Linked DNA regions of Cricetulus griseus. The protein of the gene in region 2 interacts with the protein of the main gene of each other region in a pairwise test. Links are inferred from orthologs where the notes say so. Each region holds a gene or a part of one and is shown on either strand. Other genes may lie near its edges.

Region 1 (7,938 bases), on a different chromosome or scaffold from region 2:
TTATTGTCTCAAACTCCCTATATAGCTAAGAATGACCTTAACTCCTGATCCTCTGCCTTCATGCTGTGACAACAGGAGTATGAGACAGCTATATAGAGCATGTTGCTTTAGTTTGGCTTTATCAGTTATTAAATGGGCTGGCCATATTGACATGTATATCAGTAACCCTCATTCCCTTTTATTCCATTATATGGCTATATTCAATTTGTTCATTCATTTCCTTGTTGATTACTGATAGACAAATAGATATTTAGATTGTTGTTTGGAGTGGAACAAACCTACCAAAAATATTCCTATGTATGTTTGTCAGTAATGTAGATTGAATGCAGGGTCTCAGACACACTAGGTTTGCGGTCTGCTACTATACCACTGTGCTTCATCTCCAGTTCTTTTGTTACTTTTTGTTTTGAGACAAATTCTTGCAAAAGTTGTCCTGGCTGGCCTTGAATATTTAATTTCCTGCACTGATCTCCTGAGTAGCTGGGATGATGGGCTCGTACTACCAAACCTGACCCATATTAAGTTTTTCTATAGACAAAGACCTCATTTGGTTTCTGTCTCAGACTTCCAAATCTGCTGCATAAGGTATCAAAACTGAGCTGCCAACTGGAGAAATATGCCTAGACAATCCAAAAAGCCTTTAAAATCAACATGACTGCAAGCAAAATTGAAAAGATTCTTCCCACTTCCTTAACACTTCTGCAGTCATTAGTGAGGGGCTAAGGCCTGACAGTTCTGCCTTTTCAATACCATTCACATAGCATCCATCCTAAAACAAATGGGTACTTTCTCTTCTTAGATGAACTTAGTAAACCAGGCTGCAGCTTCTCTCCCTTACCTTAGGTCCCATTCTTTCCTTTCCTTGACCAAAATTCAAATCAAGTGTTACTTCCTCGTTGGCCAGATGTGCTAGGCCATACTTACAACCCCAGCACTAGGGTGGCTGAGCCAGGACAGCCAGGCTGCACATGCAATACTAGTCTGGGCTACAGGATGAGGCACGAGTTTTTTTTATCTAGATATACCCGCTGCCACCTTTTAAAGCTATGCCATTTATCCATAGTGCCAAGGGCAAACACTTGTTCTGAGACAAGCATCATGTATTTGTGGGACGTGACAGATACCATGGGGCCTAATAAATAGATTCAGGAAAAGTAGCAGTCCTATCTAGAAAGATTTTGATAGGGAATCAAATAGGAAGGTCAGGGTAGAGCCATCTTATAAATTCCATGCTAAAAATATTTTAACTTGAAGGACATCAACAATTCTAAACAAATGTTTAACACTTTCAAAGGTATATTATAACGTCTGAAATATGTAAAAGCAAGTGGACTGGGGCAAGGGACTCAGTTGAGAGCCTATCACAGTCATCCGGGAGAGGAAACTCCAAGCGGTTAGGAGAGCAGATTACAAAAGCATGTTAGATGTTGATAAACATAAGGTTTTGTCTGAAGGTGGGCAGCAGTACACAGAGAAGAGGCAGGGATGACTTCAGAGTTTTGAGCCAACCAAATAAAATTCTAAAGCCATTAACCAAGAAGTTAAAAACTGGTGGGGGCGGAAGAGGGGTAGTTTTATTTTGAGTATCCCCTTACGCACTTGGCAACATTTTCAAATAACTTTAACCACTGGCAAACTAAAAGTAACATACAAAGGCTAAAAGTTCAAACTGCCAAACCAAAAGCGGGAAGACAGTTTGAAGATTTACTAAGTCACAATGTTGCTTTAGGAGCTTTTAAAATGTAGCAACATTTCCAAATAATTTACTTTAACCTTTGGCAAACTCAAAGTAACACACAAAAGCACTTGTTCAAAATGAATCCTAACAGGTGTCAGGCACAGTAGGATAACATTCCTATTCTCTGGTTGGGAATGGAAAGCATGGATAGGTAAACTGGAACTTAAAAGGCACTGCTGCGTTAGGATAAGATGCTAGCATGAAACAATGGAGCACTATCCAACTCAGCCCTGAGGGTTTGGGAAAAATCTCTGAGATTGAGTAGTATTAGACCAGATAAAAGGAACAGTCTGTCCAAAAAGCCTCCGGTAAGAAAAGGCATAGTTAGGCATTATACAAGTAGTTTAAAGTCTGAAGAAAGAGTTCAAGATAAGGACACACCCACACAAAATGTCCATGGACACATCTACATGAAATGCCCAGCACATAGATGATAATTCAGTAATTTTAAGATACAAGAGCATATTCAGATTATGAAAAATATGTCCAAGCTGTCTTAGGTGTCTGAAGAGCATTGTAGGTGAGAATTTAAATGAGAAGAACCTTACATGTTAGGAAGATTCTATAAACACATCACTTCTGCAGGGATACCTCTGCTTGAAATGGAAAACCAACCAACCTGAGTAACACTGTGTTAAACTGGAAACACAACACTTTCTCAAGAAGGCAGCCACTTACAACTCTAGTAATTTACTGTTGTGTGAAAATGGCAAGACTGTCTATAACTCAAGAACAAAATAGGAATTCAGCCTATGTGATACTTTTCATTTAGGATAGTGGCAACTAATTACATAAATTAAAAAACAAAACACCACAATGACAGCCAAACAAATGTGTCTGTGAATAGATTTCACCAAGGGCCACCCATGTGGCAGGTTAGAGAGGTCTGCCAACTTCTACAATGCACTTTCCACCACTTCAAAGGGTTCTCAAGTGTTATTTTTGAGCTCCTTGCTTTTAAACCAAATACCCCAAACTGGTAATGTCCTGTGAGGGCTTTTATACATATAAATCAACTCTTCTCTCTCATCTTGTCAAGATACCAAGCTTCAAGCATCTTGAGGCACACTTCTCCACTTCTACAAGCTAAGCAGTCAAGTGTGCAGGTAAACCAATGTAAAAAAAGACGGAGTGAGGCCTCATGGGATCATTAATGAACAAAGTATGCACGACAAGGTGGCCTCTTTGATTTCCATAGAAAAACACCACAGAGGTTTGTAAGCAGTGAGACACTTGAGGATAGAAACCAGTAACCTAAATATGAAAAATAAAAACAAAGTCTTCTGGCAATTTCCACCGTAAGATACCAACAGGGGAAGGGATGAACAGGGCAAAGGAGAAACTAAAAGTTGCTAGCCTTTGAGGACTATGAAACACCTTTCAAAACTCTCTGGTATAATAAAAGCCTCCACACAATGGTACAGTAAACACTCTCAATTCTCAATTGAAACAAAGCTGTATTTTAGCAAAGATAGCTTGAAAACTATTTGAGCAACAAGAAATTTAGATTAAAACTACTGAAAGAGTAAAGCAGTTTTTACAGGTAAGGCAAATGTGAGCAAAAACAATCCGGTTGTTTTAAAATCCACTCAACCACCTCTGTTTCAGATGTCTTACTACAGAATCTACTAAGTAACAATGTTGCTTTGGAAGCTTTTAAGATTTAGTCACTAGCAATCTAAAAAACAAAGGCTAAAAATTCGAAATGCCAAACCAAAGAACAGACTGTTTACAGTGTTGCTTTAGGAGCTTTTAAAATGTAGCAACATTTTCAAAAAAAATTTACTTTAACCTCTGGTAAAATCAAAGTAACACACAAAGACTAAAAATACAAAGCGCCAAACCAAACAAGGGTTCAAAGATTCTCAGACTCCCCAGAAGAACCCATCTGAACACAGTGGCATGTGCATCACCCCTGTAATGGGGCTGGGGGAGTGTCAAAAGGACCGGGAGTTAGTGACTGAAGGCGAGCAAAGCCAAGCAGGCCATGTTCTTGCTGGCAGGCTACCTCGCAATTACTTAGGCAAGCACTGTGGCCAGGGCACTCTCCAGCCAGTAAGAGCGCACTGGACTCCCAAAACGGGAGGCTGACCGCAGCTCGCTAAGACCGAGACGGTAGGCAGTGGCCTTCTTTGACCTCCACGGTAAACCGAGGCTCCTCTAACCGTCGCCTCAGCGCTTGGATTATCGGGGCCAACCCTCCCCAACTGTGTGTGGCCTTCCCACGCACGCCGGGCGGGTGTCAACAGCTGGAGCAGCCGGGCGCGGGGAAGATCGCCGCCTGCACGGTCCTCCCGGGGACCCTGCCGACCAGGGAGAAAGACGGCGGTGCGCGCCCCGCCTCCCCGCTCTCGGCCAGCCCGGCGCGGGCTGCGGCCGGGAGCGGGCTCGGCGCTCCTACCTTTTTCAGCGCCGGCACCAGCAGCCCCCGCCACTTGGGCGCGTTCTCCTCGCTGAAAAACTCGTAGGGCAGCTGCTGCGCCTGCATGGTGCCCGCGGGACGCCTCGGGGCGGGCGGAGGGGCGGCGGCTCGCGGCGCGGCGCGGAGCGGAGCGGAGCAGGGCCGCAGCCCGCGCACAGCCCGGCCCCTTCGGGCGCCGCGCGGCCGGGCTAGCGCTGGCGAGGCGGCTGGGGGCGAGGCCCGCCCACCCACCCGACACGCGCGCCGGTCGCCGAGAACCAACGCAGCCCGACGGTGGCGGCGGCTGCATCCCGCACCACCGCCCCGGGGCAGGCCCCCCGCTCCGCCCCGGGCCGCCCTCCGACGCCCGCAACCGGACTGCGCTCCCCGGCACGGCCTGGGCCGCCGAGAGACGGCGCGTGGAGGGACGCTCTAACCGGTGGCTCCCGCTGGCCTGCGGGGAAGTCGAGCGCGAAGCTCGGAGCGGGGCGGAGCCCGGGGACCGGGGTCGGGCGGAGGCGGGGAAGGGCCGGAGTTCGCTGCTGGGGCCGCCGCCGCCGCCGCCCGCCGCCGCCGCCGCCGCCGCGTGTAGCGCTGGAGCTTCCTAGTAGCAAACTGAACCTGCCCGCGACTGAGCATGCGCCGCCGGCCCAGGCCGGTTCGCTCCGGGTTTTCCGGCTGCCCGCGGATGAGGAGGGGCGCGCGCAAGAGGCTGGGAGGGCACTGCAGGGGCGGGGCCGAGGGACCCTGAAGGCGAACCCGGGACCGAAGGGCCTGGGTGTGTGTGGGGCGGGGGGGGGGTGAGCAGGCAAAACGCCCCCTTTGTGTGGCCCCGTAGGCCCGGAGCCCATGCCGCTCCAGGAGGTCCTAAGACCCTGGGTCTCAGAAAGGGGTGTGTGTACTTTGTTCCCAGCATGAAGATAAGGAGTGCCCTGAGCATGCACTGTATACCAAACAGATAGCACAAAAGATAGGTTCCGTCTCACAAAAACCTCTGCTCAGTATTTGTCCGGTGGGAGGAGAGGTCGTCCTGTTTCCCTCGTCCTTTCCATAACATGAAAACGTGTATGTGTAGTAGTCATTGATCGCGTCTACTCAAACCCACAGGCCACATTTACGGGCTTAGTCCACCCTGCTTTGTATCTTTCACGGCTTCAGTTGGATAATTAGCTTCTGAAAGGAATGGTTTATTTTTTCTTCTGGCACACGACCCAGAATAGAGACATGAAGATCCCGGAACGCTGTAGAAGCAGTATCTACAAATTGTCCTTCCATCCCAGGGATGCAGATGTTTGTGACAGTGGCATTGTGCAACACTGTGGCACGTTATGCTTTATCATTGAACGCTTTCCGAGTAAAGTGTTTTAGTTCTCAGAGTTTTAATTTCATAGTTGAGAAGACAGTTCGAAGAACCAGCCTGGGCTCAAACTGACATTATGTCCTGCTGTTTTGGAGTACAATAAACAAGATCTCACAGATGAAACATGTTTGAAACCAGTGTTCTTAATCTTTAGACGATCTCCTAGAATCTGGATGAAGTCGTCACATCTTCCCCTTTATAATATACACACAGAATATATTTTTCACCCCCCATACTTTGAACGTGTTCAAGATGACATTTTGGAGTCCATCTGTAAACCATCTGAGTTACAGTAGAGCAGATCTGCTGGTAAAATGACCTAGCCAATAAAGGGCATTACCACCAAGCCTGAGACCTGAGAGTTCTGTCTCAGGGACCCATACAGTAGAAAGAGAAAAACTAACTGCTAAAAGTTGTCTTTTGACCTTCATACATGCTCAGTGGCAGGTGCACCACATACAAAATAAATTTTTAAAGAGAGAGGCAGTGGAACTGCAGCTTGGGAAGGAGGGAAAAGGAGTTTCAGAGACCAACAAACACGTTATTTTCAGCGACTGGTTTGTGTGGTCCAAAGTGACTGAACCAAATTGGCTCTCTATAGAAAACTGTATCTTGGCTTCTCGTTACTATTAAAATACAATTCAAGGCGAGAGCCGTGGCACAAGCCTCCGATCCCAGCATTTGGGAGGGAGGCAGAGGTACAAGGACAGTCTCAGGTAAACCGTGAGCTCCAGGCTACCAAGCGCTACAGGAAAGGCTATCTGGAAAACTAAAGAACACATACTTCAAAGTTCTGCACAAAGCTATGCACCTGACTCCTACTTAGAACATTCTTAACATTTTCTCACAACTGTCAATCACAGTTCATCAGACTCTAGTCACACTGTCCTTGTCAATTCCCAGAAAACAAAGCTCCCGCTTGCATGGCTTTTCCCAATCTGGAGCACCTAGCTGTTCACGTGACTACTTTTAACCTTTTGTGATGAGTGTAATTAGAGTCTACCATGTGTCTATGTCACTCTTTCCTAGCCCTCACTCTGTCGTCCGCTCTTCCTGATCTCCCCTCACTAGAATGTAAATGTCAAAAGATAACGCTTTTCTGTATGGAGCTCATTATTATATCTCACGATTTAGTATGTGCACAGCAGGAAGCATTGTTTTAAAGACATCAAAGTCGCACAGAAGAAACCCGAAGTAGGAATACAAGGAGTTGCCTGTGCACTCGGCACGAGGCAAGCAGAGGTAGGTGAGTCAGTGTGGGTTTGAGGACAGCCTGGTCTACACCGTGAGCTCCAGGAGAGGTGATCTTTGAGATTGTGTAAGCAGAACCACATTCACTCATTTCAAGATGTCAAGAGATCATGAAAGGACTGGTAATTGAACTCCAAGACTCCCTTCGACTAGGATTTACGTGCAGAGGCGAGCAGGTTTCCACCTCTGTGAAGTTGTGGCTGCAGACAGAGGACAAACGGCTCCAGGGAGACTGCTTCCCAGAGGAGTCGCCGGAGGCGAAGCCAGCGCGACTGAAGCAAGCCTCTGTCAACTGTCTGCCTGCACCTCTTAGGACAAAAGTAAACGCCTAGCGGCAGACGGCTACGCCAGGCTCACACGCGTGCGTTCTCGCGCAGAGGTCCGCCGAGCTCTGCTCGGCGCAAGCGCAGAGGCTCCCTCGGCGCCACTCGGCGGTGCCAGTGGCCTGTCCGCCAGAGCGGAGGTGACGCACGCACGGGGGTGCGGCTCGACTCACGAGTCGCCTCCCAAGGCAGCAGAGTCCAGGCAGAGAAGCCGAGTTCCGAGCGCATCAGGCCTGCAGCAACAAGGGAGGGGGCGGGGAGGACGCCCGGCCCCGACAGCGCTCCCTGCAGGCGGAAGGGTGGCCCCGCAGGCCGGGACAGGACCGCCTGGTTTCCTCCGTCGCCGCCGCAGGAACCTTAAGCCCGCTTGGGATCTAGCTACGTTTCTGTTCACGAGTATCTACTGGTGTCCCAGAACGAAGTCCGAAGTCCTTAACCTGGTACTCGTCGATAAGCATAGTCACGCCAACTACTCGCCGCTTCAAACGCGTCTCTCCCTCTTGCCTCCCGCGCACCCGTCCCTGATTTAGGCGAGCACGTGCTGTTCCGAGTGTCTGGAGTACCTGTACCTTTTCCTCCACCCCAGACCCCCTGGTACTCTAGGAACTCTCACAGGACCTGCGCCCCACCCCCTTCCACCCCCAACGCAGATATCTTTTGTCTACAGCCCTAAGTCTCCATACGGGATTCCTGCCCGTGAATTTCGGGGTCTCACGGGTATTAAGAATAGCAGCTTCAACCGTTACAAAATGCATGGCCTCCCAGTGAAGTATATCCAACCTGCCTTCCTTACTTCATTCTTTGTTTCTCAACCCTTACCTTCAATCCCACTGTTGCAAATAGTGTGTCCTCTGAAAACACACCG
Region 2 (7,379 bases):
TTGTTGCCTAGATGTTATGAGAGAATAAAGCTTTAAAAAGTACTATTTAGCTTAGCATGAAGATGCTCAGGCTTAAGAATGAAGATTGTCAGTGTTAGATACATTGTATCTCATCCATTGTAGAGAGAACTGAGGTATAGTTATTGTTGCTGTTTTAATTCTTAGCAGGTTGGTGAATGTAGTAATCTGAGACTGGAAATTTTAAAGTTTAGCGTGTAGAGTTTTTAAATTGCTCTGTAGTTGGTGCTTTCATAACAGGGATTTGGAAAGTCCTTGAGAATTTAGTAGGTGGTGATGGAGTTATACAGCATTCATAAAAAGTAAGTTGCCAGGAATTAGTGTTGTGTAAATTCCCATTTGTTTACATAAAAATCATCAGTACAGAATGATGCTCAAGATTTAAAAATTCTGAAAAATAGGATGGGATCTGTCATTGTCTCTACTTTATAATTATCAAAACTATTTCTACTGCCTTTAATTGAAATAAAATATTTATACTTATGGAAAGTGTCTTTAGTTTAACCTTCAGAACTTGATTTATTGGATTAATCTACTGTATTCCTTATAAAAGATAGATGTGCATGAAAATACATGATTCAGGGATAGCTTTTACTTCAGTAGTTGGAAGATTTGTATCAATGAGATTTCACTTGGCCATATAAACTTGAAATAAAGTCAAAAGAGTAGCGAATCCCAACATTGCAGAGAAAGTAAGAAGGCCATGATGGCAACAGTGGCCCTGCTTTAACTTGGAAATGTGAGGAGCACTGTGAAACAGGAGCCAGGTCAAAGGTTGTGCATTCCCAGGCTGATGGGGATGGGGAATTGAGGTCAGAGGCCAGATTATGAAGCCCCAGTGCCCAAGTAAGGGATATAGTACTATGATTCCCAACACAAGAAAATTCTATCTTCTATTCCCTGCTGTAAATGTGTGACTCCCACTTAAAAGGCAAATGGAAGAAACAACATTCAGGGTGATAGGTGACCCAGAAATCCCCCGTGGTAGATCCTAAACATTAAACTACACAACTTTACCTCACAAATGTTGATAGGAAGGAGAAATAAACAAAGTCTCGGCTACAGGGAACAGAGCAGTTGAAAGGGACTTCTGAGAACATTAATAGGCAACACTAACTGGGCACTTATCCCACAACACATTTCAGTATGCAGCATATACATTAAAATCTGATACTCCTTTGAAAAAGTGCCCAGGTGTACCACAAATTAAATCAGACTGACAAACCATATCACAGGATGTTAGCCCCTATCCCACCCCTACCCCCACCCCAGTGAAGCTGAGTGTCACCTGTGGGCTGCCTGCCTGTCTCTCCTTGGTGCACACCTGTGTAACACCATGCATGAGTAGAATTCGAATCCAGACCTTGGGATTGATCTTAAATGACCAGGATTACCATCTTACCTGAAAAAGAGAGCAGATGCCCACTGCACTCTATGGGCTTTCTTAAAGCGATGGCATTTCCCAGAGTAAGACAACAGCAGGCTTTCTCATCTGAAGTCACAAAGTTTTCTTAGTTTTTATTACCCTCAAGGTATTAAAACAAGTACAAAATAACCTTGTAATTAGGATACTGTATCCATCAATAAAAAAGGAGAAACCACTGTTGTATGAAGCTATACATACATGGCTAAAATATACAAGCTGTGACAGAATTAAGAGACAATTAAGAAATGGAGGAGGGGGTGCTTTTTTCTTCAGAAAAGCCAAATCAATAAAACAGGACAGATAAAATACAGTGCCCTAAATATGCATAACCATAAACACTAAGTCTAAACACACTATTATCATGGCATCCATTGCTTCTATTTACCAGCCTTTGCCAGTACATGCCCACTCCCTTTCCTAGCTTTAAGGACCGTTTCCTCTAAGGAATACTAGGTGCAGCATAAACCTTAAATAATTGCAATTATTGTAGAAGTTACAGCCTACAGAGAAATTAACTTCTTGTCAGTCTAGATAGAACAGTGGCAACCATTCTTCACATGCACTTGTCTTAGAATATACCCCCCCTTGGCTGGCAGGCTAAAGTCAGGCTATAGAGCCTCCCACAGCCACAAATCCCCTCTATGCTATGTCCCTGCAACCTCATTACCCATCCCCACATTGGCATTCATTCACCTTTCCCACCCCCCAAAAGTGCAGTTCATGGTGGCTTTCCTAGGAAATGGTTTTAATTGGTGTCCCAGAAGACATGCTTTTTTTTTTTTTTTTTTTTTTTTTTTTTAAATCCCCCTCTGAGCACCAGAGGTGATGAAGATGAATTGTGTTCTTGGCATTGTTTTTAAGCTTTCACTAGGTCAAAACAATGTGTTCTGAACACTTGAGTTTTTGTGTGAGTTTGAAAATTATTTTGGTGCCCTGTGATATAATGGAGAAAACATCTCAGTTTCCCCAAACAGAGGGGGCAGAGGGGATAGAGATGTAGGCTGGTGACCCCAGTCTGGCTAAGTGTCCAGTTCTCCTCCTGGCTCAGGTTCTTTCACAGAAACTAGTTATTGCTTCCACACTGCCGCTACAGGGAATGTTCTGCAAAGGCTGTGACCCTGGTCACAGTTTATCTGCAATGGCTCTGCTCTGAAAAACACACCAGCCCAAGAGCTCTTATCAGAGGGAAATTCTTCAGCCCTCAAGATCACTGAAACTTGGTTAGTGCAGTTTAGAGTAAATGCATACTATTTGGCTTATGTTAAATGATTATTGGCACGATGTTTCTTGAGTTTCATGTATAAATGTGATTTGCACATGGGTCATAGCCATCCATAGCCATCCATTGCACATGGATCAGCCAATCTGCACCATTTTTATGTCAGCAATAATCCCATCTCTTCCTTTTGAGCATTGTAGAGAGAGTTGCTTCATACGGGTTTCCAAGGTCTGGCCCTCAAGGGATGTGCTGCTTTGGCTCCTGCCCCTGCTACCACCACTGTTGCTGTTGCCGAAAATGCGGTTGTTGTTGGCTTTGTCACTCGTTTTATTCTCAGCCCCTTCTGCTCTGTCTCCTGTAGAGATACAAAGGTTGCCAAATGGGAGTTGACAGTTCCAAGAGTACCATAGGCACTGGCATCAGCCGCCTGAGCCCTCTGCAGTTCCCACGCCACCCACCATGCATCTCAGGGGTTCTCCAGCACTGGGTGATACACTGCATTTATTCCTTAGTGTGTATCTTTAGAGATACACTCATCCTCATTTTGTAGCTAGGAATCAAACCAGTGAAGGGGACTGTTCTAAGGAGAGACAAAGGACCTAAGTTCTATGTTATTGAAGCTGGTCAGGCAGAGCCCAAGCAAAGGCACAAACAATCCACAAGTTGGGTTGCAACTTACCTCGTTCCACCTCACATTCAGGGGAGGAGGCCCCACTGCATTCACTTCGAGGGCCCAGTATTGGAAACATCATTCCAAATTCAGACAGGGACACAGGGCTGGGCAGATCCAAGCTGCCGGGTCTTGCCACTGCAGGGAACTGGTCAGGAATTTCAGATGGACTTGTTGGTCCTGAACTAAAGCTGGATACAGACTGGGTTTCTGAGTCATCTTCAGACACTAAGTTGCTACAGTTGTCGTCTTCAAAGGCTTCGGAAGCCACTATGGTGAGAGAGAACATCAGTCACATGGAGTCTGCTAAGTAGTACCCCAGTTCCTAAAGGCTTGCTCTCTGCGGGCAGGCAGTCCCACAGCATGGAGTCGGCAGGACCTACAACCTTCCTGAGCCTTCTTCTGACCAGCCTCCAGAGCATTTGAAAGGAAGCAGCAGCTAGCTCCTGTGCAAAGTTTGTGTTCTAGAGGAATTTAACTCCTGCTCTAATTCTGTGCCAGCAAGTGCTACCTAGATAAAGGACAGCTAGGGATGGCTAGGGCAGAGTGCGTGTCTAGTATATACAAAGGCCTGGTTTCCATCCCCAGCACTGAAGGAAAGGGAAGACAGATAAATTTAGACACTAGCCCTTTGAAATGTGTCCTACACAGAGGCAATCTTACAGTGAAGACTGAAGGTCTTCCTTCTGGCGTAAGCAGCAAGAGCTGTTGGAATGTCTGTAGTATCTTCTGATCTCACGAGATGCCCTTAACTGTTTGCAACAAAGAACATTCATTTTCAATGCTCTGACTGTGCCTGAATCTGTGGACCAGAATAACCAAGGCACAGAGACATACCATCTTGTTTTCAGAGCCTCTCAGACTGCATTCTCGCTTCTAAAATCCTTCCTAGTTCCCTTTACACCTATGGCATCTTTAAAAATGGCCTCTAGCATTCCTGAGAGGATTGTTCTAAGTACTATACTGCTTCAGACAGACTGAATGAATTCAGATCCTAACTCCACTGTTGACTGTGTGGCCTTGTCAAGCAACTTGACTGCTCAAATGCTCTATGGACAGGATTAATGAAGTGATGTATAAAGTAACTCACTCATAGCCACTGATTACATTATAGTTTCATTTCCCTTCAACCTGGCAACTCAGCATTTGTTGATGGCTTTCAAGAATTGCTGAGGATGGGGCTTGAAATGGCTCAGTGGTTAAGAGCACCTGCTGCTCCTCCAGAGGACCCAGGTTTGATTCCCAACATACGCATAGAAGCTCACAAATGCCTGCAATTCCAGAGCATCTGACATCTTCTAACACAAGGCAAGCATGTGGTATACATAGATACACATGTAGGAAAAACACTCATACACAAATTATTTTTAAAGATAATACTAATAAGGAAAAACAAAAAAGAATGTCTGAAGACAGGGCCTAAAAGAGCCACAATGGATTATTCCACAAGAAAAGAAAAGAAAAGTTGTGAAGTGTTGAGTGTCACAGTGTAGTTTTCTTGATAAACAGAAATTAGGTCAGTCCTCTATCCTATCTGCACAGGATATGCCTGGACAGAAGAGACCCATGTGGTCAGACCCCAGGGAGACCTGCCAGCTGTCACTTCTCACAACCCTCCTTACCATAGGAGACACTGTCCCCGTCACAAAGCTGAAGCAGCTAACACATGAAGGCCCACTAGCCCATGTGCAGTGGTAAAGTGGGGTCACAATCAAATCTGGGTCCCAAGTCCCTTTTAAATCTGTCCTCAGAACTTCAAGTCTTGAATGTTGTAATATGTACTTAGACTATTTAAGAGGGGTGGAGGTGGAACACTTTCCAAACTTACTTGACCACAGAATGCTAACATTCAGTAGCAAGCCAATGAACACAGTGTCCCACAAAACATGAGAAACCATCAAACAGCCTGCAGGGTTGCCAAACTCTGCAATTCTTTTTTTTTTTTAAGATTTTAAATATTTATTATGTATACAACATTCTGCTTCCATGTATATCTGCACACCAGAAGAGGGCAGAAGATCTCATAACAGATGGTTGTGAGCCACCATGTGGTTGCTGGGAATTGAACTCAGGACCTCTGGAAGAGCAGTCAGTGATCTTAACCTCTGAGCCATCTCTCCAGCCCCCAACTCTCCAATTCTTAAGTGATGGACAAAGGATAGGGACTGTGGGATAAGATAGCCCTGAAAGCAGATCACACATGCTTGTGTGATCCCTGCTGGAGAGACTCACCAGAAATGGCATCAGGCTCAGGTTTGCTCCCAGGCAGGTTCTCCACTGATGTGATGCTGCCCTCAGCCCCCACGCCACAGCCCCGAGGACCCATGGCATTGGAACGTCGCCGCTCATGTATCTCATCTGAGATCCTCTCCAGGCTCTTCAGGGCTGCCTTATACTCGCCTTTGGCCAGGGCCAGCTTGGCCTGAAGGTCATCCACTGTTTTCTTCAGTTGCTAATTGAAAGATGGAGGGCCTGGTAAGTCAAAGTGGCTCTGCATATCCCCATTGAGAGAGGGGTTTCACATGATTACAGCATAGAACTTCCTAAAACGCCTGACATGATCATGATGGCCTTAAGGAGGATCCAGTTACTTTCATCATGGCTACCCATTCACTATAAAGAAAATCATTACATCTCAACACCAGTCCGTGTGACAGACAAGAACATGCAGAAATGGTTATTAATAGAATGTAGCCCTCAGAGAAGGAACAATAGATACATCAAGTCCTGAAGCCTCCTCACTTGGTCCCAGACAGAAGTTCTTGGCCCCCGTATCTGAATTGTCTGTAGGGCCACTTACAATGCAGACTGCTGACCCAACCCCCAAAGATTCTGACAGTAGGGTGGAGAGCCTGGGAACTGTACTACGAAAAAGTTTCCAGGACTGCTTATCTTGGGAGCTCACACTGAGACCTAGTAAGTTAGTGCAATTCAGCGAGCAAGTGGCAATAGCTCCAGACAACACCCAAGACTATCTGAAAACTAAAGTCTAGGAATACGTTTCTCCATTCTCTCACAGCACATTGTGTCATCTGAAGGCCTGCTATACCACACTAAAGTTGAGTTTTGAGTGTGAGAAGGGGTGGAGAACAAAACGGTGGCAAATCCAAGGTCACACATACCTCGAGCTGCACGTAGTACTTTGCCTTGAGCTCAAAATAAGGCCTGCAAAAGACAGGAAGAAAATGTAAGAATAGGATTGCATGGTGAACTCCTGTAGATACACCCACTTAAGCTAGTCGGGCCATTCAGGATTTAGGCCACGGCAGTTCCAAAGATACCAGCAGAGCTACTGGCTCACCTAAGGCTTCAGTAGATACATAAGTTCAGTAGTCACCTCACTCCCGTCTCAAGATTTTGGAAACCTTGCATCCTGGTTTGTTTTACTCTAGGAAGACTGCTTGGATCTACTGACCAATAAAAAAGATGGGCTGAGGAACAGGTGCTAAAAACATTCCCTCTGCTGAGACCAACTATGGAAGGAAGCAATACCACTCGCTGTCAGCTGGGTATAGCAGGGCTGCCATGTCTTCAACCTCAAGTCAGTCCTCTTGTACAGGTGATCAAGGGTAGGTTAGTCAGTGAAACAATCAGGCAAGGAAAAAGTCAAGTCCCCCAAACTCTGGGTCAGACAGAAGAGCTGGCACTTTGTAGCAGCTTTAGTGTCTGAGCTGTTTCTCCTCTGTCAAATTTTCCTTAGTCCTGCATCTGTAATTGCTGATGACAACACATTGCAGGACCTCTTTGGTGCATAAGGAAAATCTGAGATGTGGGCATAAGCTCCTTTTAGTGGCCAAACAGAGTGGATATCAGCCCAGCCAAGGTGTAGAGAAAAGTATGGTGGGTGTATGAGATGTCCAAGTAAAAGAAATGTGAACATGAATGTCAAAGATGGAGAACAAGGGAAGGGAGTGTGACCAAGGCAACAGGAAGGAGGAGTGGACCTACCAGAGCCCCAGAAGCCATTCTATGGAAGGCACAGACTGGCATCTAGTTTCACAGGCAGGCAAGAGTCATCCAAAGTTATCTTGACAGGTTGGCAGAGT

The links.
Region 1: the proteins of Sh3bp5 (region 2) and Sos1 interact in a two-hybrid assay, tested with the Homo sapiens proteins (2 studies listed by BioGRID and IntAct). The link is inferred for Cricetulus griseus from reciprocal best matches to the Homo sapiens genes SH3BP5 and SOS1.

Annotation. Positions count from the first base shown.
Region 1 is NC_048600.1:3,604,162-3,612,099, reverse strand, and holds the start of Sos1 (son of sevenless homolog 1), read right to left. Parts: upstream 4,321-7,938; 5' UTR 4,227-4,320; coding exon 4,140-4,226; intron 1-4,139.
Region 2 is NW_023276807.1:188,327,502-188,334,880, reverse strand, and holds the end of Sh3bp5 (SH3 domain-binding protein 5), read right to left. Parts: intron 6,499-7,379; coding exon 6,456-6,498; intron 5,786-6,455; coding exon 5,566-5,785; intron 3,604-5,565; coding exon 3,343-3,603; intron 3,019-3,342; coding exon 2,801-3,018; 3' UTR 1,512-2,800; downstream 1-1,511. UniProt on the Homo sapiens protein: Functions as a guanine nucleotide exchange factor (GEF) with specificity for RAB11A and RAB25. Inhibits the auto- and transphosphorylation activity of BTK. Plays a negative regulatory role in BTK-related cytoplasmic signaling in B-cells.